Linked DNA regions of Styela clava. The protein of the gene in region 2 interacts with the protein of the main gene of each other region in a biochemical or structural test. Links are inferred from orthologs where the notes say so. Each region holds a gene or a part of one and is shown on either strand. Other genes may lie near its edges. The genes, in order: max-like protein X and MLX-interacting protein-like.

Region 1 (11,055 bases), on a different chromosome or scaffold from region 2:
TCATTTTTCTGCAGGAGGTCACGATGGCATTGGATTTCAATTCAAGTGGAGATGAACTGTAAATAAATCTTTGGTCAAAAATAGTTTGTATAGTCAGGCTCGGCAGTTGGCGCATCATGCGAAACGTTAGAAATACACATCTGATTGACTTGTGTGATTTTGCAGGTTTGAACCCCATGAGGAATAAATATGTGTGAAAGAATGGATGGACTCCCTGACGACGTAGGGTGGTTCACATAACCACCAGATATTTGCGACTTTCCCGACCATCAAGTCCATGCATCCAAGACAAATAACAGGGCAACTATTCCGATATCCAACATGGACCGAACAAGCTGAGGTTTCCCATATGAATAAGGCTTCTTATCATCTCTCTCTCTCGGAATAAATATGAAAATAATATTCTATAAAATATGCTGTCACAGTTTTTTCTATTGATTCCCCTATTTTTTCAACGGAGTGTTCTACAAAACTAAATGTTGGCTTGTTCATAAGTTTTGGTAAAAAAAATAAAATATAAAATGAGTGATGAAATCAAATACAAGATTACAGATTGTACATTATTATTTGAAAATATTAAGGCTGATATCTAATCATAGCGTAAAGCAATAAATCAAAAAAACATGTTTGTTTTTTTATTTTCTAAAACCAGATTTTTCAAGTTTTGCCCTTCTGGATTACGACCTTGAACTAAAAAATCAATTTCAACTGTATTGAACAAAATACTTCACCTTTTCACTAAAGTCAAAGAAAGATCCATGGCATATTGAACAAAACCTTCAACACTGGTATGCAGGTTCATCAAATTCATTTTCTTCCTGTTTTCTGCTGACAACATTTTTTTGATTTCATTCAACTTTTCATAAAATAAACCAATTTTCGTACCAGGTAAAAATGATTTCCGAATATTTTTAGTTGTGATAACTTTAACAATGTCTGCGATTGCTTTCCGGACCTGAAAATAAATTACCCAAATTGGGTTGCTGGGTAATATATTACAAGATACGTTATTCGCTTAGGTTTCAGGTATTAATTTTCACATTCAATTTTAATGTAATCTAGATGAATAACTTTCAGTCAAAAATTTAAGGCTTTGATAAAATTGAATATTTCTTTTATGAAAACAGAGCAAAAAAATTCTACTAAAATAATCCTCATCTACATATTACAAAGATTTTGGCATATCCGCAAAATTTATATAACAAACTAATGTTTCAAAGAACTCTCACTGTGTGCAATTCCCACACACCCAGCTGTTCCTGTTGCTTTTTATAGTATCATGGAAAATAATATCCTTCTTGTGAGTTTAGTCAAAGCAAGATATTTAGCCCTATCTAACCCAATATATTACCGATGGAAGACTTACAAGCCGACACTGAAACATCACTAGCATCGTACCATAATCGAAGATTCGTAGGTTCAAATATTGTGAGGAATAATTATGAGAATCGGGATTGCTGGATTACTCGTCATTGAGGAGGGGGGGATGTTTCATGTTTCAACTGATGTTTCATTATGACTTTCTTCACTATCAAGTCCATGTATCTGAAAAGAGTATACATACGACATGGACTTTGCTTCGCTCTATGACGGCGAAATCCTGTCGACTCTCTTCTACCCCGGGATAAATATGAATTGACTTGTGCCACATATAAAACAGCAGGTATAATTAGGTACAGAAGTTAAACCCTAGAAGTCAATTAGTCAACACATAAAATTTTTATATCTATTCACCTGTTCTACACAGAAATCTCTGCCTTTTAATACTTCATCATTGTCGGGATATCTAATTGCCATTTGCAACGCTGCTGTTAGCATGGGAAGAGATTGTCTTAAAGTTGACAAAGAACATTTCAATTTGTATTGTAATTTATCATCCAATAAGTCGTTGCATCTTGCACTTGCAGCTCTGTGGAGATCAGCTGCAGGAATAGCAAAGCTTCGGAACTTATCTGAAATATGAATAAACATATTTGATGTGATTATTCTACTTTTACCGTAAGTATTAGAATTTTTCGATATCTCAAAATTAACATAATCTTTTATTTGTAATATCAAAAATCTTGTATGCACCATGAACTGAAAAAAGCAATAAAACGAGCATACTAAAGAAGCGACACCAATTTTGAACTACACATCGTAAAACTTTGTCTTAGTTCAGCAATGTCGTGTATTGTAGAATTTTCACATTTATCCTACATTTTATTTATATGACGACTTAATCATATGGCAAACCACGGACTCCCGTCCGGTTACTAGTAGTAGTGTCATTTAGGAGAATATTAACTAGGTATTTGTTTGGCAAATGGTTATGTGAACCACCCCACAACAGCGAGGAGTCCAACAATCTTCTCGCATATGATTATCTCTTACAAGATTTGAACCTACGATCCCACACAGGGTAATCACATGTGTAATAGTAAATGTATTCCCAATACTTGGATCAATCATGTGCTTGTCGAGTCATATACGCCGAGTTGAGTATTTGTATCATATTTCTGTGTTTCCTCTCTATATTATATATGTGAATACAAATAACCATACATACATACCATTCAAATTTTGCAATGTGTCAGCAGTAGCAAGAGTTGCAAGACATTCAGAAGTGGACCAACCATAACTTGCAATTTTTCGAACTTCAGCATCATCAATAGAAAGAAGTAAATGCATCATACACTGTGACAAAATGAGATTCCATTAAAAAAGTGATGCCAGTCTATGTATCAGTCAGTAGTATGTTGTATAATATATTGGCTATTGAACACAGCAACAAAGAAGGGATAATATGTTACGAAAGCTTTTCAATATCAATTGTATACAAGCATAAAATTTAGGTTATGTAATCACTCGTAATTTTGCTTGGATATCAGTCTCGTTTTTCTTCTGCGAGTGCACACAAACTCGCTTTGCGCGAATATCCACAAAAAAATAAAAACTTCATCCTGAGTGCATTAATATAATACCAGAAGTTTTAATTTTCACTTTCTCAGACAACCATTACGGTAGATAGAGCAAAATTAGCCAAAAACTTACTTGATTCAACTCAGAAAGACATCCAGGAACATCATTCTGATAAGGAACTGGTGTTTTTAGCTGGTAATCAGGTTTTGTAGCCGAACACAATATCTGTAGAAATAATATCAATCAGATTTCAGTATTATGACTTCTACACTTCTATGGAAAATCATTCAATACTGCAAAAAATCTTACATTATTTAAAAATACATCCTAATTTATAGTTCGTAAAATTTGACATAAATTGTATCTATTAATAACATCCACAACAAAAATATTCAGTTTGATTATCTGATTTTTTTGAAAATTATGTTCCATTCTCAAACTATATTTCCAATTTTTTGCAGATGCAATTTTTGGACATTACTAATACTAATCGCAGTTACATTCTCAATATGTTGAAGACGACGATTCAGAATCAGATGATCTTTTTTTTAAAAACTATTCCTTTTAAGCGGATTCTTCTTGACATATTTAAGTGTGGCAATGAAATATAATCGATAGAGTTCCTATACAATAATAAAACAACATACATGACAACACAGAACTAAACTTTCTCCGGCAACAAGTAGATTCTGAGACCCACAATCTATTTCTTTCTTTACAACATTATCCTTCGCATATTCCAGTGTCACAGTTTGTTGGCAAACCTACAGGAAATTATTAAAAAATTTTTAATTAATATAAAAAATACAAATATACAAACCATTACCAATGATTATTATCCAGTATTAGGTACCTATTAAGTCAAAAAAACCTGGTGCCTTACAATACTTTTAGGCACAGGTCTTATATAGTTGGTCTTATAAAGTTGAACTGCTTTGCGACGTTCCTCTACACATGACTATTGAAACACCCACCCTATCTCTAATAAATGACAACTCAAAGATTTCATAATTGATTTAATAAAACCTTTCGAGGAATGCCTTGTTCATGACTCTTGTCAAACTTCGAAATGCTTTAACTACGTTAATATTTAACAGAATAAATTTATTTTATTTCACGAATAGGAAAGAAGTTTATCTGACGATAGACAAAGGATAAATCAAATCTGTGATAGTCGCGAGAATGGCTTGGAGATCTGACATGAAATTTGCCACATTGGGCGCTGACATATAGCAGTCGTTGCAATCACAATGCAAATCAATGACACTAAATACAAAACTGAATACCGTTGTCAAGTCTTTTAAACTCTCAACAATGTCTTCTGACATAGAAACCAATGGTCGTAAAATATTTATCGACCCTCCTGATGTCTCTGACTCATATTTTTCAGATGTCACAATCAACAATTCAGTGATCTGAAAAGTATTAATGTCTATGTTAACCGAAAATCAGTAACAACAGGACTAAATCAGTACTTTTTCAAACCATTTTTCCCATTGGTGATGAAGTGAGGTAAAAGTCCATAAACCCCAAGTTGCTAATCATGGGTCGGAATCTTGATTCGAGTCAATACTGAGTCTTACTGATGGTTAGCTGATGACGAGTCCGAGTCATTATATTTAGAGGACCTGAGTCACTTAAAATCTTTTAAAAAAGGTCACTTGAGTGCAACTCGAGTCAATGACTCAAGCCTCGCAAACACTGCTCATCACTGATACTTTAAAATTCTGGGTTTTTGGATTTATACAGGATCCTAAAAAACAGAAAATTCACACTGCACCTGTGATAGTATTGGAGTAAATATAGCTTGCAACGACTGAGTAGGAACAATGGAATCCATATTGTTTATTTTTATTCCTACATAAAAGACTTGATTATTTTCAGTATTTCACTACTTCTCCAGAACCACGATCACTAAACTTCCAACTGTTCGTTGCTTGATTGCTGAATCATTCGTAATTTCGAATATCACGGCCATTTTTTGTCAGAAAATACTGTTAAAATACAGTATTGGTGATAGTTTACTTCAAACAGCGTCCGTAACAACTGTATGACTCGATGCGTAGCATTCATCATATGACGTCATCGATTCATTCATAAAAATCGACAAAAAGGGAGCTGTGTTCCCGTTTGTGATGTCATAATTTTTTTTTTTTTTGATAAATCATGAATAGTATGTGGCTGTAATATAGGATAAAATTCAGTAAAATGATTGAAATCGCCTTGAATGAAAGTAGTCTATAACTTCATCGCTTAGGAAATTCAGAAGTGGTGAACATAGATAGCGCCTATGCTTGACTTCTCGGTTACTTTATTATGTTTTAGTTGCATCATTTACTGCGATGAAATATCCAATGTCAAAAGTTGGAGTAGTCTATTTGATAAAAAGGGTAACTTAAGTTTTTGCTTGTATTCCATATATTTATGTATGTTTCATATTTTCATTTTTGAAACACTGAAAACGAATATCGCTCAATAAATATCCCGTATTTTTTCACATTGATTGATAAACTGAATAATGATTGATTTTTGTGTGAAATTCCAGGAAGATGGTTGTTGTTTGACATTTACGGTTTGACTAAAATCAATCGGTTTATCACCGGCGCTAAGGCAGCCGCCTGTGGCGCAACGATAAGATACGATGCTGCCCTTTCTCCTTAGCCAGCAAATAGTTGCTCTGCAGCCTGGAATGGCGGTCGAGAGTGCTTAACCTGTTTCCAATTATGTAATCGTACTAGCCAAGTTGAATTGGGTTGCGTTTCCCAACAGGCATACCGGGAGGAATTCCTCGTTAGGTAGGAAAGAGTAAACAGTGAATGAGTGAGGGAAGAATAAACAATTCCAAAAAAGGCGAAGCTGCGAAAGGAGAAATTTAACAAAACAAGTTGGGTAGGCTAGAAATACCTGAATACTGTAATATGCGTAATTAACACTCACACTTTTTATAACTGTACCGTACTGCCGTAAGGTTTGAATTGCTCATAATACAGTAATAGTTATAATGTGTGAATAAATATGTAATGTAATATTTCCTCTTCCAGTCTTCCAAAACAGTGAATTTCTTTTCTTACTGCAACATACTGCTGTATTGGGGAATTTTCCCGTTGTTAGTAGAAACCTTGATCTAAATTTAGTGCTTCTTGGTACCATACTCATCAACTAAGTCTGTAAGTGTGCCATATTGTAAGGCGGTTTGCTACCATGTCTTATTTCAATTTTCTTACGAAACATAACGGCTTATTTTGGGGGATGGTTTTTTATTTTTATTCCTCGAAAACAAAATTACAAAGTAGAGAATTACGAGATTTTCAAATATGAAAAATATGAAAATGATATTCATTTTCTTATAACTAACACATTTTTATTTAAGAAAAAATTCGCGCTATCGACTTGGTCTTATTTTAGGTTTTTATATTAAAATTATTTTTAAAATTTAGCCTAGATCCTATTTTCAGGCTAGGTCTTATTTATGTATTTTCGGGGAAACACGGTATTATGCAAAATATGTTGGTCGGCAACCTTTTTTATTATTCTATTATCAGATTATTGTGTTACGTTTCCAATACCTGAATACAGCAACAGACTACAGACAATTTTTATACTGTAGTGATAGATATTTTAAATGAGTCATGAATTCTTCTGGATTTTCGTCTGCTTCATCAAGTTTCATGGATTCAAGCTATGATCAGATTAGCGATTCTGATGGTGCCAAGTTGGAAATAGATTTGGCATCTCCGAACCATAGTTCAAGTCTGCATTTTTCTAATCCATCAAGTGCTGCTTCGTCAGTTCATAACACAGATGATGAAGATGATGACAGCTCTGAACGCCCGCTCAAGTTCAGGTAAATTGCTATGTTACTTATAGTTACATCTTCGAATAGTAAACTTTTGTATTTATATTTATAATTTAGTTTGTTTATAATGTAACATTACACGGTAATGAACATTTTATAGTTTGTTTATACATGATCATACTGCCACAAATGTGGTGATACAATAGCTTATGATAACTATATACATGTAACCAGGGCAGCGGAGTCGAGAGCTCCCCATATTTTCTCTAGAGCAGGTGTCAAAATTCTGAATTCCCCAGATTCAGAGTCGGAATTGCAAAATTTCAATGGTGATAAAATAAGTCTAAATTTCTTCATTTTATTTTACTGACAGTCTATTAATAAAAGATGCTGGTTTACACCAAAAATTTATTTCTGGGATCGGAATGGGAATTTTTTGCAAACCAGAATCAGAGTTGAATTATTGTCAGAGTCAATTTTCCATATACTCACTCCATTTACTCAACAATGCATGTAACGTAGCAGAAAAAGTTTTTGTACTTTATGTAAACTTCATCGATTTGGGAAAGAAAAATATGACTATTCGACTATTTATTGCAAAGCGGAACTTCCTCGATCATGTAGTTATTTTTTCGCATACAGGCAAAAAAGAAGAGAAGCTCACACACTCGCTGAGAAACGTAGGAGAGACAACATAAAGAAAGGATATGACGAGCTTCAAACGCTCGTCCCCAAACTTCACTCAGAAACCGTAGGATCACAAAAAGTCAGCAAGGCTGTTATGCTTCAAAGATCAATTGATTACATAGAATATCTGGAAAAAGAGAGAAAGAAACAGACAGAAGATTTGGAAAAACTTCGTAAAAAAGAACAATCTTTATCGATTATGAAATCAAATTATGAGCAAATAGTCAAAGCTCATCAATCAAACCCAGCAAACTCCAATCACCAATTGTCAGATCAAGTAAAATTTGAAGTATTTCAAAGAATCATGGATACTCTTTTTGTTTCATTTAATTCATCAATATCCGTGGCTAGTTTTCAAGAACTGTCCCATTGTGTATTTAGTTGGATTGAAGAACAATGTACTCCACAATCATTACGAGATATTGTAATCGATACTTTAAAGCAGTTGAATCCACAATTGCGATGATCTTTCCTTTTCATTTTCTTACAGGAAAAGCATATAATATGTAATCTTGTTGCATCTTATTGACTTTGTTATACTGATACCGAGCAAACGTTTTCACCAGTTTCACTTAAAAATAATTATATTTACTGAAAAAAAATGAAGATCCTGGTTACCAGTTTGTGTAGAAGTCTGTGAATCCCCCGAGTCATATTTCCTTAATTTTCGAGTTGATCCAATTTAAAAAGTTGACTTGTCAGAAATAATGATTTTCATGCTATTTTTTGTCATATCGAGTCCCTTTCTTCAAGATATGATTTACAATAGATAATTTCTTGTTGATGAAAATGTTCTTAAATGTAGTGTGCCTAAATACCTATTTAATAATGATTTAATTTTTTGTATTAATTATCACAAATATAATCTTGCGTTTAAGTAATATATCATTCTGCTTGAATTTTACGACTTATAAATTGCAAGTTGTTTTCTTATAATGAGATAAGGTACAGTTCCATCATTGTGACGTGGTTTTCTGGAAAATCACTTAAGGAGAAAGTACAGTACTTTATTGGACAATTATTATGATTGTGATCATTTTGTAGTGATGTGCATTTAATTAAAGGATAAGTGGAAATGGAGGAAAGAAAAATGTAGTTGGCTTATCAATTCATATTATGCATTATACTAATTCATAAAACCACTGTAAAAGTTGGAATGTTGCGCAATGCACAAAAATTCTTACGTCACTGACAATAGCATTTCTAGACAAATTAATTATGTACCAGAAGCGGAGCTTCCTATCATTGTGTTATCGAAACAATTAGTCAGTGCAGCATATGGAAGTATAGACAATATGCATGGGCAGTTGCGATCGGGAAATGTAGTGTACTTACGGAGTTAATTTTCATGTCAAATGTGGTAGGATAACCCAATTCAGAATGTTGATGAGAATACGCGTTTTGATTTTATTAATTGTATTCTATTTTGTGTATATGATTATTGGTGCTGCGGTATTCATGGCTATGGAAAGACCAGTGGAAAAACAACGATGCAAGGATGCAAAACAATTTAAAGAAAAATGGTTGAATCAAACACGTAATAATGAAGGTTTTACAGAAGAAACTTTAAACAAGTTTATTAAGGTTAGATGTTAATTTGACTCTAAAACTACAAAATTCATTCTTAATATCAGCTCTTTTATAGAGAGTATATCTTTATTGTTGTTATCGGTATGAATGTTCATAGTAGTGCTTTTCAGAGAAGAATTTTGCTTTACCTGATATGTTGCGATTATTATTATTGGTGAGCATACTGCCTTTCAAAATTTTTCAATTCATATATGGTTTATGTTTGGGCTAAATATACATGACAAAAAAAGTTTTTGGGTAATATTGCCATAATCGTCAACTCAGGAATAATAGTGTTTTTGTGCTTTTAGAGGCTTTTGATTAAGTAATGCCTGATTCTAAATTCCTGCCATCGGGAAGGATATTTTTTTGAAAACTCAGATATTTCGACCGTAAAATATGCAAATTCAGGGTAATATTACATAGTATGCAGGCTTTTTAGGTGTGAACCTCCAGAGGGCTCTCAAGTAATAAATAATTGGTACTTAGTCCACCGATTATAATTCATTTGTTTTGTTCAGCTTGTTTATACATAAGTGATAAGCTTTGCTGGTAGGTAATTCGAAATATTTCAAAGAAAATCCTGTTTTATTTATATATTTTGTAATTAAAAAAAAAAATCAGATAATAAAATACCAGGCTGGTCTTCAACTATGTCCTTCAACCCTGCCACTGGGCCAGTTCTGTTATTGGTAACGCTACATCTGTAGCTGCCCTGATGAAAGAGCTGGGAACATTCCGTGCAACTCTTTGTGGCTGTGCCACCTATCAAATAAAAAAATTTCATTCTCACGTTTATTATTATTGTATTTCCTAGAATGTCACCATATTTTCTGGTCATGGTATTAGTCTGCAGGGTAATGTCAAATGTCCAGCAAATTGGGATTTTCAAAGTTCATTGTTCTTCACAGGAACCATCATCACAACCATTGGTATGATTTGCTAATTTATACTATTTTTCTCAAAAATATCTGAACTCTGCTCTCACAACCTATGAATTATAAATCTTGAAAATGTCGATATTATTTTATTCTGTTATACCAACATTGTCAGATTCTCAAACACTTTGTTAAACATTTTTTAAACCAGCATTTCCCAACCAGGAAGGTAATTTTGATTTGTGCTTAAAATATTTAACTTTTAATGCAAATCTACAAATCTCATACGGACAATGAAAGTTTTAATCATTACGGTAATTCTATATTTTCAGGTTATGGAAACCTTGCCCCAACACAATGGTACAGTCAGATATTTTGCATATTTTATGCTTTAATTGGAATTCCTTTGTTTGCAATCATGTTTACTGGAATAGGAGAATACATGTCTGTTCTGGCTGAGGAAGTTCTGAAAAAGTTTCAACCACCACAAAATGCTCCAGAAGAGGTAGACACATAGATTTTTTTACAAGTCATTTAAAAAGTTCTTTTTGGACACGAAGTGGACATAACGATCGTTTCAAAATTTTGTTGTTATTGTTATTTGTCTCCGTCTCCATTTTTAAAAAATCGCTTTTCTCTTCGAATACTGGACCAATTGCTTTGAAATTTCCAGTGGTTAAAGATAAAATTTTTCTCCAGAAGGCTGTTACTTTTTTTTTCGCTATGACGTCATCAAAATTATTGCCATTGGGTGGCGCTACGTGTCCATATATTTGAGCATAGCTCTCTTGTTAGATTAAATGATTGCAAAGTTAGTTGATCTGATATCTGTCCACTCCTTTATGATAAATATTGAAATCTCATCCTGATATAAACCGGTTTCCCAAACTAGCGTCCCAAACTGATGACTGCACAGGGGGTCCGCAACGATATGAAAAGAGTCTGATTGAACTTTAATGATTGATTTCAATCAAAAAGCCATCTCAATATTTTGTTGAGAGTTGCGGAAGAATATCCATTGCTGTCAGAAAAGGCAATTGAAATTTTATTGGCTCTTGCAACGACTCTACATGATAGAGTCAGACCTATTAGTTTGCTTGTCACAACACAATTGATAAATTGTGCAGTGAAAAGCAACCTCATCCATCACATTAATGTCAATTGTATTGTAAGGATGGGGGTCCGTAAGATTCATAAACAGGGGTCCGTGAGACCGTGACTAGG
Region 2 (11,940 bases):
AAATCATTTCTAAATAAATGTAACTGGGGTTGTTTTTGAATATTCAATTTACTTGTTCAACGCGAAATATGTGTAACACTCAATAGTCAATTTAGCGAACATTGTTAATGGCTGCATTATGAATCTTTTAGAATTTATCCGCTCTTGAAAGAGATTCACATAAATTTATGTTAATCTCTTTCAAGTGCGAATAAATTTAAAAAAACACGTTTAATTCCTATTTGCAAAAGGTTGCCTATTGAGTACTCTGCTAAGATGAGCAATCTTGAGAAAAACAAAATAAAAAACCATGCTTGGAAATATAAAAATACCAATGAGGTAATAATGGGTGGCAACTTATGCACTAGCCTACTGAACACGTGTAGACATAAGCAAAACATGATGCAATTTGTGATAATGCTGATTTCAGAAGTATATGTAATTATATTACAATTTACAAAACATACCAGTTGGCATTAGAGTAGTTGCAGGATTGCACAACTTCCAATCTAAACCGCAGACACCACAAAACAACATGTTTTGTATAAGTAAGAAAATATGCAATATATAACATGGCCATGGATGTCAGTAGAATGCATCTATGGCTAGAAAGTTGTGTTACAGTAATTTTAATAACAAAATTTAAAAAAAATGTGACCTTTGCTCCAAATTGGGTGGTTAACAATAATAACGAGTTCTGGTTCCGTAATAATTAATCCAAGTAAAAGAGAATACAATGTGGTAGTAATCATGGCCTTAAGGCACAGACAAAATCTGACGTGACAAAACTACCAAGCTGAGAGTTCATTCTCGAAATTAAAATATTAACCAATACTAAAGGAACTATCATGGTGTTTTTAGGATTGTTTAAAATTAAAAAAAAATTTTTTAAATATGGTATTTCTTTTTCTGTAAATATGTAAATATGGTATTTCTAACGAGCTTCACAGTAGTACTATTCCATTGTCGAGTGGAAAATCAATAACATGTAGGTAAAAGAACAAACTCATTTGAATGTAAACTCAGACGAACTCGTGTTTGATGCAGCTGTTATGCCAGCACTCCCATGAAAAACATCCATCAAAAACAATTCAATAATTACACAAATGAATTTTGAAAGACTATTCAAAAACTATTTGCTTGCTTAAATATCTCTCAATATAAGATTGTATATTTTCAAAAATACGCAACCTCATATCTATTGTTTACTCTATAAACAATGTGAATTGTGAGAAACTGCTGTTTGTTCTTCTTTTTATCTATGTGATAAACCTTTATGGCCATTTACTTTTATTTTCAAATTTTATGCAACTCAGCTAGTTTATCACATAAAATTGTCCTGTATAATAATCAAAATGAATAGAACTGAGACTATCAAACTGGAAAATGATATAAAATGACAGAAGCCATTGTCATTGTCGTAAAATTAGGAGAAGGAATTTCATAAACCAGTTTTCAAAACAAAATTGAACCAATTTGAAACTGACCGTAATAATATGAATGTTAGCTGTAAAAACTTTTAAGTGATGCCACACCCCCTGCAGCTATTGGTCAATCATTATCGAAAGTTTATATCGATAACAAAGATTCTGCAGACTGGTGATTGTAGCTCATAATGACGAGTTGATACTAATTTCCCAATGATAATAAGTACATAATTTTTTATGCTTTATCAATAGATTATTCTAATGAACCTAACACACCGGTATACATGCATTGTGTTATAAGTATACATTGTGTTATAATAAAATGTTTGGAATAAAGTCTGAAATACATTATATAATTTGTGTCAATGACTCTTTTCTTCTGCTGCACAACACATGTTGGCGATGTTGCAGAGATTTTTTGTTAAAAATTAAAAGCTTAGCAGAATTTTGCTGCAGGACATAGCATAATGTATGTAGTATTTATATCCACAAAAGAAGGCTGAAATAAACAACCATCTCAACAAAATATGGTCATGTAATTTTGGCAATAAGTTTAAGTATTTCTAATTCATGTATACTGATATATGATTTCAAGGTGCATAAAGACAACGCAACTGATACTTTTGTGCATCTTTTTACAGACTACGAATTAGTATTAGGCAAATTTATATCTTACATTGAATGTGCCATGTTCTCCATATAGCATTATTCAATCGAATCTTATCTTTCACAGAGAGACGTAAACCTTTAAAATTCTTCCATTTCGGTGAAACAACTTTCCCTCTAAAATCAAAAAAAGTGGAAATAAAAGCAAGCCCCAACATTTTCATTTCATTCTACAAATTTGTTCATTAAATAGATCTAAATGTTTGCTTTATAAGTTAATCAGGTGGACACTTTAGTTTTGAAAAAGAATGAAGCTTGTTCAAAAACACTGAATTACATTTTAAAAAAAATTTATATCATAGAATCTGGTCTACTAGCAGATGACTATTATTTCAGCCATATTCTACATTTTATATTAGAATTTGAGATCTGATCTCAAAATGGAATAGAAGTCTGATATGGGACTCACCCTCTATATGCCAATGACATACATTCAAATAATCTTGATAGTGACGCATCAATAGTAATTTGATTTGTTGAACGATGTCCAAACTGATAGGTATTCTACAAATATTTACAATAAGATAATTACGGCAACGATACAAAAAGTCTATACTTATCATTGAAAATACCTTCCACTACTAAAATGAAATTTTGAAAATAAATACAGAAAGTAGATCAATGCTGAAATCTTGTTTAAAAAAATTTTTTTGATTAATTTTTATTACATATGCGATAGGTATTAATGTTATTGTTATAGCAGACAAACATAATTGCTGCCATTCTCAATACTTTTTTGAGCATAAAATAGAAACAACATTACTGAAGGTTTCCATATCCTGTTTTTCCAACCTACATCAACTGTGGATTGGCTTAGCTTCAAATAATCAAATTTATTAATACTGTATAATAAAATTTTCCAGATTTTTGCCCAGATTTCCTGATAGCTTTTAACATGTACATTGAAAAAATCACTTTTCTCCAATTATGGTTCATAACTACGGTAATTAGAATATAATAATTATAAGTCAGGAATTATAATTGTGTTACACAATGTAGTATGCTTAAGGGGCTATTCAACCTTATTTTTAACACAAACATCTTTAGCTAGCATTCGGTCAAAATACGAGAATTTTAAAAAATTTACCGTTAGAACCGATAAAGAAGCTATTTTATACCTGTGTTTCCTTCCGAACATCCGAAAAATCATATCCTTCACGTATTCTGATAGCTTGATCATGATGTACCGGAGAATCTCTGTCGTGGGGAACGTCATCATCAACATCATCTTGATCTGCTACAGATGATATCATAAAATGTCCTGAGTGGATTACTTCTCCATTGCTCTCAGCTTTGAATAAAAATAAATTCCATCATTTAAATTAAAATAATTTTAGCAAATTTAATTTCAAAATTATTCATTTATTAATAATTCATATTCAATGTCAATTGCGATTAAATTTGAAGATAAAAAAAAATTAAATATATTGTAATTGTATTTTTATATTGAAATTTGACCGATTTTAATATTTGATTTTTGAAGCTAATGGTGTGGATTTGGCTACATTCTAAATCTGTACATATGTTAATAGTATAATTAGTAATATGTGATTAGTTTATTGCTATATTTTTCTTTATGCAGTGAAAATATTAGTCTGACGAGTGCAAAATAACAGATAAGCAATTATATGAATTAAAAACACTATTTTGGAAAACCATAATCACAATTTATTTTAGATTATTATTTATTACAATGAGTTGCAAAAACTGATTTAGCATCAGATATCATATATATATCGGTACCTATAATACGTTCTTGAACCAAAAGTTAACTTTACATAGGCTATTCAGTATCTCCAATGCCATATAAGCATCTAAAATTTTGTTTCATCATTTTCATCTGATACCAGTGGTTAGATTTCATCATTGGCATGTTTAGTGATAAAATGCACTTTCCATTTTTACTTCCATTATAATTTACACTCGACTGTTGGATGTTTTTCTTCCTTGACTTATTTAGCATAGGATACGATTTACATATTTATAAGACGACTTTATCATATGGCGAACCACAGCCATGACTGGATTAATGGATTAGGCTAGTTAGTATAACAGGAGTACAGATGCATGGACTTTATAGTATAGGAAGCCATAACTGACCAACTGATTACATGAACCACACTACTGCGAGGAGGAGTCCAGCAATACTCTCGCACCAACCTGCAAACCCGCGCAGGGTAATCAGAGGTGCGAGAGCATCGTAACTCATCCTATCGCAATATCTTATACCATAACATAAATCCAGTAGCTTTGCTATGACAATCCACGAATAAAATGTAATCCAACCTTTACGTTCCCTCAAATTCATTTGTGAGCGGCGAGCAATCATACCCTCCATCTTGAAGTAATACCGAGAAGAGTGTTATCTGATGATGTTTTCACAAAGAGAGTTCTTTTCCAGTATTTGCCAAATGTATTATGTTAATCCATATCGATTCAATATTGTGTTTAGTACGCTTGTTTACATCCAACATAGTGTCCAATAATCCAAGTAAAAATCTTATGTTCTATGTTACAAATTCACAGTTTCTCAAGATTAATTAGTGGTATATTAGAATATCATTTGTAAGTATGTGCATTTGAATGCATAAAATGATAGTAACATCTGAAATATGGCAACAGTTTAGCATGGAAATTAGAAATATTCTGTTCAAACCCTTTGCACTGTTGCATACCACCTCTCAAAATGTGTAATAAATTGCGTAAGCATACGAGCAGTTTCTGATTATCTAGTATATCTAATTAATCTAAAGTAGAGTCTGGTTGGTCAAAGCCTCATTAGGAATTAAATGCCTAAAAGATTTGGAATCCTACTACAGTAGACTACTATCAGACTATAGTTAACCAGATCCCAATCATAAATTGCAATGCACTATACACTGCACTGGCCACTGGGTACCTACAGACCTATGTTACTGGCACGGAATATATATGTCATGATGCAACATATTAACAAAATTATCAATTTCACCACGAAGGCACGAAGTCAAAATCACTCATAGAGCTTGCCAAAGTATACCTAAGATCGCCGGAATGGCATCGGCGCCGACGATAAAGAACTCGCATATCGGGATCGTTACGACAAGAAAACGAGAGAAATAGCTTGCTATATTTCGGGTGATCTTCTGTGCGTCTTGGATCTATAGTGGTTGACAGTTGGTATGGTTCGAAGGGCTCTGTTACGTCACTGTGACGTTACAATGACGTAATTTTTGGATGGCGCAGTCAGGTGGGGGTTAGGATTAACATATGCAAAAATTGTTATGCTACGCCCACTAGTAGTGCTTCAGGTACGAAACTACACTAGACACTAGTCAGCCAATCATGTTGCCTTGCATTTTAAAAATATCGTGTTTCGTGTTTCGTCAGACGTGTTTCGTGTTTCGTTGATCGTGTTTCGTCAGACTTGACTTGACACCAGCTTAATAAATAGGGAACACATTGACCATATTTCGCTGTGATTTGGATGCAATTTTCACCTGTTATCTGTATACAGCGCACTATCTGACTCCAGCCTTATTCAATATGAATCGACCGTATTTTGTCATCGCTGATTTGACACGCATCGACCGTATTTAGCAATCCCTAATTGTACACCCATATACTGCAATACGGTATGACTTTTCTGCGCCTGCTCATCAAACTCCTCGCCGCCATGGGGTGGTTCACGTAACCGCTGGCCGGTTACGGCTTCCCCCACCATCAATTCCATGCATCTGAATTTTTGGCAAACTTGTGCCATATCCAACATGGACTGGTAACCGACTGTGGTTTGCCATATAATTAAGTCGTCTTATCTCCCCCGGGACAACCCGAACTCAACCTAATTCAAGAAACATGAGAACAAAAATGCAAGCGCGACGGCACGTTTAACAGCTCATTCCAGTCATATTTGTGACCGGGTGCTAACCTCACTAATCACACTTTGTCTTTGGACATGCTATGTACATATGAATCGTTCTGTTATTGGGTTGTTGTTAATGGGGATACAACTGTAGCTTTACGCTTTTGTACCGTCGTTTTCCCGTCCCAAACCCCACTCAAAATATGATCACAAAGATTAAAATCAAGAAAATATAGGTAATATCGCCTATTATAATTAAAAAAATGATATGAAGCAATCACAGTTGTTGCACATTTAACCACTGAAGTCAGTTCACAAGACGTCGTTTTGTAGCAGTAAAAAATGCAATCGTTTTACCGTTATAAAAATGAACGCGTATTGGCGAACTTTCTGAATGAATACCATAGTTTGTGTCTGCAATGTTATAAAGAGACATATACGTAGCCTACTACCAAGCTAATGATGTACAAAATTCTGGTCATTTCTTTTAATCCTGACGAAACTGGGTTTGCTTTTTTATTTCTTCGCTTGTTTGTATCTCAGGGTCGCGAACGGAAGTAGGGGAAGGTGGGGCACGTTGGGACATGGGGCACAGTGGAAAATCAGCTCTCACACTAATACCATATTCGGAATCCGGTCCGCGGTTTGATGTTTCAATCCGCCCTTCGGTGAGTTACAACGTCCCCGCAAACGGACAGCGGACGGGTAAGAGCGACGCAAGCTATGAGGTGAAATTGGTTTTGGGGGGTTGAAACTAAAATTTCACCGGTCCGGTTTTTTCTTTTTTCTAACTTAGCCTTTTCAACGTGACAAATCACCGTCTAATACAGTGTTTCTCAAACTTTTTTAGTCCCAGAGCCGCATTTCAAACCTCAAAGTTATGAAGAGCCGCACACAAACAACGCAAGGTAAAATAGCAACAAACCCTAAAAGCGCGAATTTAAAATACCAAGTCATCGTAACAACTAGAGCTGGTCGAAATATTCGAATAATAAAATTTTACTTTTCGAATATCCGGTACCACGTGACCTGCGCCGCTCTGCTTGGACACCAAACTCGCGCGTCTCCACCTGAATGATAAATTGTGCGAGATTTCCCAAAGGCGCTCGCTATCAGAAAAAAAAAATTGAAAAGTGGTTGCCTTGCGTTTTGGTGTTAAATGCTTGTCATTGCAATTGACGTATCGTTTCAAATATTTATTTTGCAAAAAAACGTACCGACCGTTCCGTAAATTTAGAAACATCAAACCAGATTAGGTATTTAAAATAAATATCTCAGATTTTAACCTCCGCATGCTTGGTGTCATGTCATTGGCCACTTCTTGCATTACCGAACATAAAGTTGATTGAAATTAAATGTTAAAATGACTTTTCAGCGTTTCATTGTGTAAAAGGCTATTTTAGGTCGTTAGAAAACTCTAGTTATGTAAATAGCATAGATTTAAAAATGACCAAAAGTTTTTTCGAAAGCTGGTATGAGTTACTTGTATGAAAAATACTCATTAAGTTGTAACCAGATAAGAAATGTCATGTCTTACTCCATTCAAAGCACTTTGTATTAGCTATTTAGTGATCCCTTCCATCCTTGGCCAAGTAATGTTTTGAATATGTAAACATTTTATTCAGCCATGCATGGCCGTTGAGCCAAGAGTAGAACGTAAAATCAATCGTGAATTTTGTTGTGACAATGCACACTGACTCGTTCACGAATTGTTGCGTCTATTATCGTCGAAAATGATTACAATTGGTAAATTTTGAAGCATTTGGGCAGTAATAATTAAGCCTTATAGCATGACATGATCAAAATCATTAGGTGAAGTGCTGAATTTGCAAATTCCGTAAAGAAAATTGAGCATTACTCAGAAAGTATTTTAGGTATAATACCCATCGGGGTGTTGTTTTGTTGAAAAAAAAACGTTAAAACTTGAATGATTAGGTATAATTAGCGTCTGACCCTCTATTAGACACAAAGGCCTAGAAATGCCTTTGTTGTCAATTTATTTAATCGCTATTTTAAATCAACATTCAGGATTCACGCAATCGTAAATTTGCTAGGTTTATCTATCCAATACTAAAATAACACGAACACCATAGAAACGCATGAGAAACTCAATTATCGTTTAAATATCTGCATCTCGGTTACCGTTCACTTTAAACAGGCACAATTAATTTACAAGGTGATAGGGAAAATCAAATCCAAGGCAGAGGATTAAACTCAGAATAAAATTAATTTGGTTTTGAAATCAACCCTTAATGTATTCAACAGCTGTCGCTGATGTGAACTTTAGGATATACTAGAAATATAAATCTTCGATATTCGGCGACCGCTTATTCTTGCAAAAAAAACGAGAAAGGGCGGGAATATAGAATACCAACTTTAGGTTATCGCTGCCAAAACGATCGCGGTGACAATCAGTGATTATGATGAAATTAACCAGTAAAAAAAAAGTTTTTTTGCCGACTTTTCAATGTTTTTATCAATTTCTAAATAGTGTATCGGCCTCTGATGTTCTGGATCCATAAAATGTATAAAAAATATTCAAATTATTCGATTCGAAACAAGATTCGATTTTGCCCACCCTAGACTAACAGCCATTTAATTTGGCTTTGATTTCTAATAAGTTTGTCAAAGCGGGTCGTAATCGTGGAGGATGCTGCTTGAGATAATCGCCAGATATTTCGGGACTATTTTCGATTACTGGAACAAAATTAAAATGCTCTAGAATTAATCATTGAGCATTTGATTTATACATACCGGTAATATGTGGGAATGCGACAAACACTGAAAATCCATGGAAGCAAGCCAATGATTACAGAAAACGTTTACTGTTGCGTAACTAGTGCATCTTGTAGGTTAGTCAACGTTACGCAAATAAACACGGCAAATAAACAACGAGAATATCGGTTGGAAACCGAAGACTTATCGATCGATAGTTAGGGGATCCCCCAAAACAGAAACTGCAGTTTCGATTCATCCGCTCTTGTAACTTGCGCACTGCGCATCGCACACACACACTCAGCGGGTTTCAAAATTCTCTCGCTTTACAAAAATCTAGATCACTATATCAATAATTGATTGATAACTCGCTAATTATACGACATAATTCGCCCAAAATCAATAGGCTTCTGGTCCGAGATAAGATGAATGCACATGCAAAATCTGGAGCAGATTCAATCTCGCTTTCGTGAGATATCGCGTGCATCTAACAGACACACAGACATACATACAGACAAATACCTATCAATATACTTACCGATCTTAAGATCGATAAGTAATAAGCATTAACGAGAGCCGCAGGAAAGGTTGCTAAGAGCCGCATGCGGCTCTCAAACCCTAGTTTGAGAATCACTGGTCTAATATCTTTCAGCTATAGTCCACTGTGAAATATTTAAAACGTTGGCGAGTGGATGGATGCGTTGTATTTTTATGTAACATTATGGTATCTTTCGACTCATGGTCCAATATGAAATATATTCGAGAATCAAAAATATTTCCATATTTAGATTCGGATTAGAAAATAATTTAATTTGTAAGCGAATTTTTTGGTAAAATATCTGAAATATTTCGGTTGAACATTGATTTTAAAAATCTTAAATCTTCAAATTTGAGGTCTCCCTGTTCTTTAGACGATTATGCTGATTGATTGCTTATTTTTAAGGGCATACTTCGTTGAATTTTAACAGAATGACCCATTGTGCCCCAGGGTCTGTCCGAATGTGCCCCACAAGTGGGGTACAGTGGGACACTTGACAAACGTTTTTCAAAGCATTTTGGTGGTAAGATGTGTGTCGCAAGGGAATTTCTTAGTCGCTGAATACAAACTACATTTACCCCTCTCTGCATTAATCCCGCAAAGTCATATGAATGTGCAGAATAAAGGGCTCAAAATATGAAAAAGAAAAAAAGTGTCCCAACCTTCCCCACTTTCCCCTATGTGGAGTCAGGGCAATGGTTCAGATTAGAACATAAGCGTGTAACACAGTGATTTCCCTACACTCCCCTATAGGGGGTGAACACCTAATCCTAAAATTTCACTTTCCGCGGTCCGCGTAACGGCTTGAAATGGCCCGCCGAACTTAAGTGAAATGGTTGAATTTTAACTGCAAATAAATACTAATACGTTTAACACTTTTTGTGTTTACCTTTTCGCGTTTTAGATACCGTCAATTGTTACACCATTATCACAGTTTAAGCACGAGTATTTCGTAACTATTCAATTACACCGATATCTTTTGTATACGTACCAGCATTAGGATTACATACGACAGTATTTTAAGTATCAGCGGTATTAAGAAAGCTTGAAGATGTCACAAAACGGAAACTAGACACAAAAAACAGACGATTTTTAGATGAATGGCAGCGTTCATATTTTTTATTGAATAGAATAAAACTTCAGCGATTTGTCTTCTTGGCCAACAAAATATTCCAGTTCTGAAGGAATACAACATTAGCCGTCATTAAGAGACGAAGCATTCTTCAGATTATGATCAGTTGACGCGCGTATTTCAAAATTTAATTCATTGCTAAATTCATACAAACGTCAAACAAAAATGTTCAAAAAAATGTTAAATAAAAGTGAATTTACGTTATTGGCCAGTTATATTGTAGCTCGCAACATCGTTAAAAAGAATCGCCCGTGTGTTAAAGGCGAATTTTTCCGCGAATATATGCTGCAAGTTTTGAAAGTCATTTCTCCTGATATAAAAAGTAACTTTTCCGGCATTAGTCTTCCTAACTCAAAAATCTTTTGGGATATCTTTTGTTATCAATGTAGTGAAAAATACTGTACCAAAGAATATGGCTCCGAAGACTCAATTCCTTGCCAGACCGCTTACAACAATATCCACCTTATCATGATTGTCTACATTTTCATCAATTTCGTCCAACACTGTTGTTGATCATAATTCGTCCAAGATCGATCTGTTGATAATAATAAAAAGTTAACAAGCGTTTTCAAAGTACAATATTAACAAATGTACCTTTTTAACCAAACTGTTGTTTGTTTGTACTGATATCTTTATTTTTGATAACGATTTGATGACAAATTCGTACACAAATTCTCAGATTGTGTTTCGACTGTTTAAAGTCCAACAGTGATAACAAAATTCAAAATATCCCGGTTGCGAATAATCCGTGATAATTTTGGGTTGAATGGCGGATAACTGGCTTGATACGTTATTTTATCATCGCAAAGCTGATAGTGTCAACACCGCTGTACATATCTGGTGTTTCACGTGTCGCACTTGTTTCCATTATACCGTTATTATTGAAGTGCTTTCGTTTCGAGGCCAAAAAATGTTTATCCTGAGAAATGTATGCGCGGAAATTTTCGGGGTTTAGTTTTATTGAAAATCACGCTTTGACTACAGATACACACTTTATTCACCTTTGATTCTGTATTTGGCTAATAATCACAGGAAATGGTTACAAAGACCCCGCCATCTGTATCGAAATAGACGATAAAACGTACGAGTAATCGAAGTTGGTTCGTTGATTTGCTTCTTTGTATCTAATAAATTTAAGACCTAGCTGATAAGCGTTGATAGGATAATAATATTTTATTACCCGATAAAAAATCAGCCCAAGTTAGCAATGCAGTTCCAACATTTCTATATCGGAAATAACAACAAAAGTTTGAACTCATCTAACTACCAAAGCGATTAAAAAAGGTGAAATCGCTCACTTCTACGAAAAATTCCGAATTGCAGAGTTATATTCCACATGACGAATTTTTCTAACGTATTTTCTCGGTACTTTTTACGAATATTTCGCGGTTTTTATAATGCGATTCTACTTTTTACTCGATATCAAATAGTTCAACAATGCCCGAGTCAGAAAATACGACATTGGTAAATGCCTGTTTCTATTTGGAATATCCCTATTAGGTAATAATCAGGCGTCAGTTTAGCTGTAAAACTGGCTTGCATTAGACCCAAAAACTGACCAAGATAAGTTCAATGTTCATAGGTGAATGTATTCATTTTAAAATTTCTGTGCGTAATAAATCACTACACAATCTGGGGT

The links.
Region 1: the proteins of MLX-interacting protein-like (region 2) and max-like protein X form a complex in vitro, tested with the Homo sapiens proteins (2 studies listed by BioGRID, with this or other methods). The link is inferred for Styela clava from reciprocal best matches to the Homo sapiens genes MLXIP and MLX.

The regions. Positions count from the first base shown.
Region 1 is NC_135253.1:16,287,529-16,298,583, reverse strand, and holds max-like protein X, read left to right. Parts: upstream 1-6,185; 5' UTR 6,186-6,530; coding exon 6,531-6,745; intron 6,746-7,339; coding exon 7,340-7,850; 3' UTR 7,851-8,186; downstream 8,187-11,055. Other genes in the region: uncharacterized protein LOC120325823, read right to left, coding at 1-56, 732-955, 1,735-1,952, 2,553-2,676, 3,034-3,126, 3,549-3,665, 4,188-4,316, 4,682-4,741; uncharacterized protein LOC120326434, read left to right, coding at 8,765-8,968, 9,771-9,885, 10,164-10,336. UniProt on the Homo sapiens protein: Transcription regulator. Forms a sequence-specific DNA-binding protein complex with MAD1, MAD4, MNT, WBSCR14 and MLXIP which recognizes the core sequence 5'-CACGTG-3'. The TCFL4-MAD1, TCFL4-MAD4, TCFL4-WBSCR14 complexes are transcriptional repressors.
Region 2 is NC_135255.1:14,831,153-14,843,092, reverse strand, and holds the start of MLX-interacting protein-like, read right to left. Parts: upstream 4,677-11,940; 5' UTR 4,411-4,676; coding exon 4,359-4,410; intron 3,364-4,358; coding exon 3,191-3,363; intron 2,577-3,190; coding exon 2,482-2,576; intron 2,190-2,481; coding exon 2,083-2,189; intron 1-2,082. UniProt on the Homo sapiens protein: Binds DNA as a heterodimer with MLX and activates transcription. Binds to the canonical E box sequence 5'-CACGTG-3'. Plays a role in transcriptional activation of glycolytic target genes. Involved in glucose-responsive gene regulation.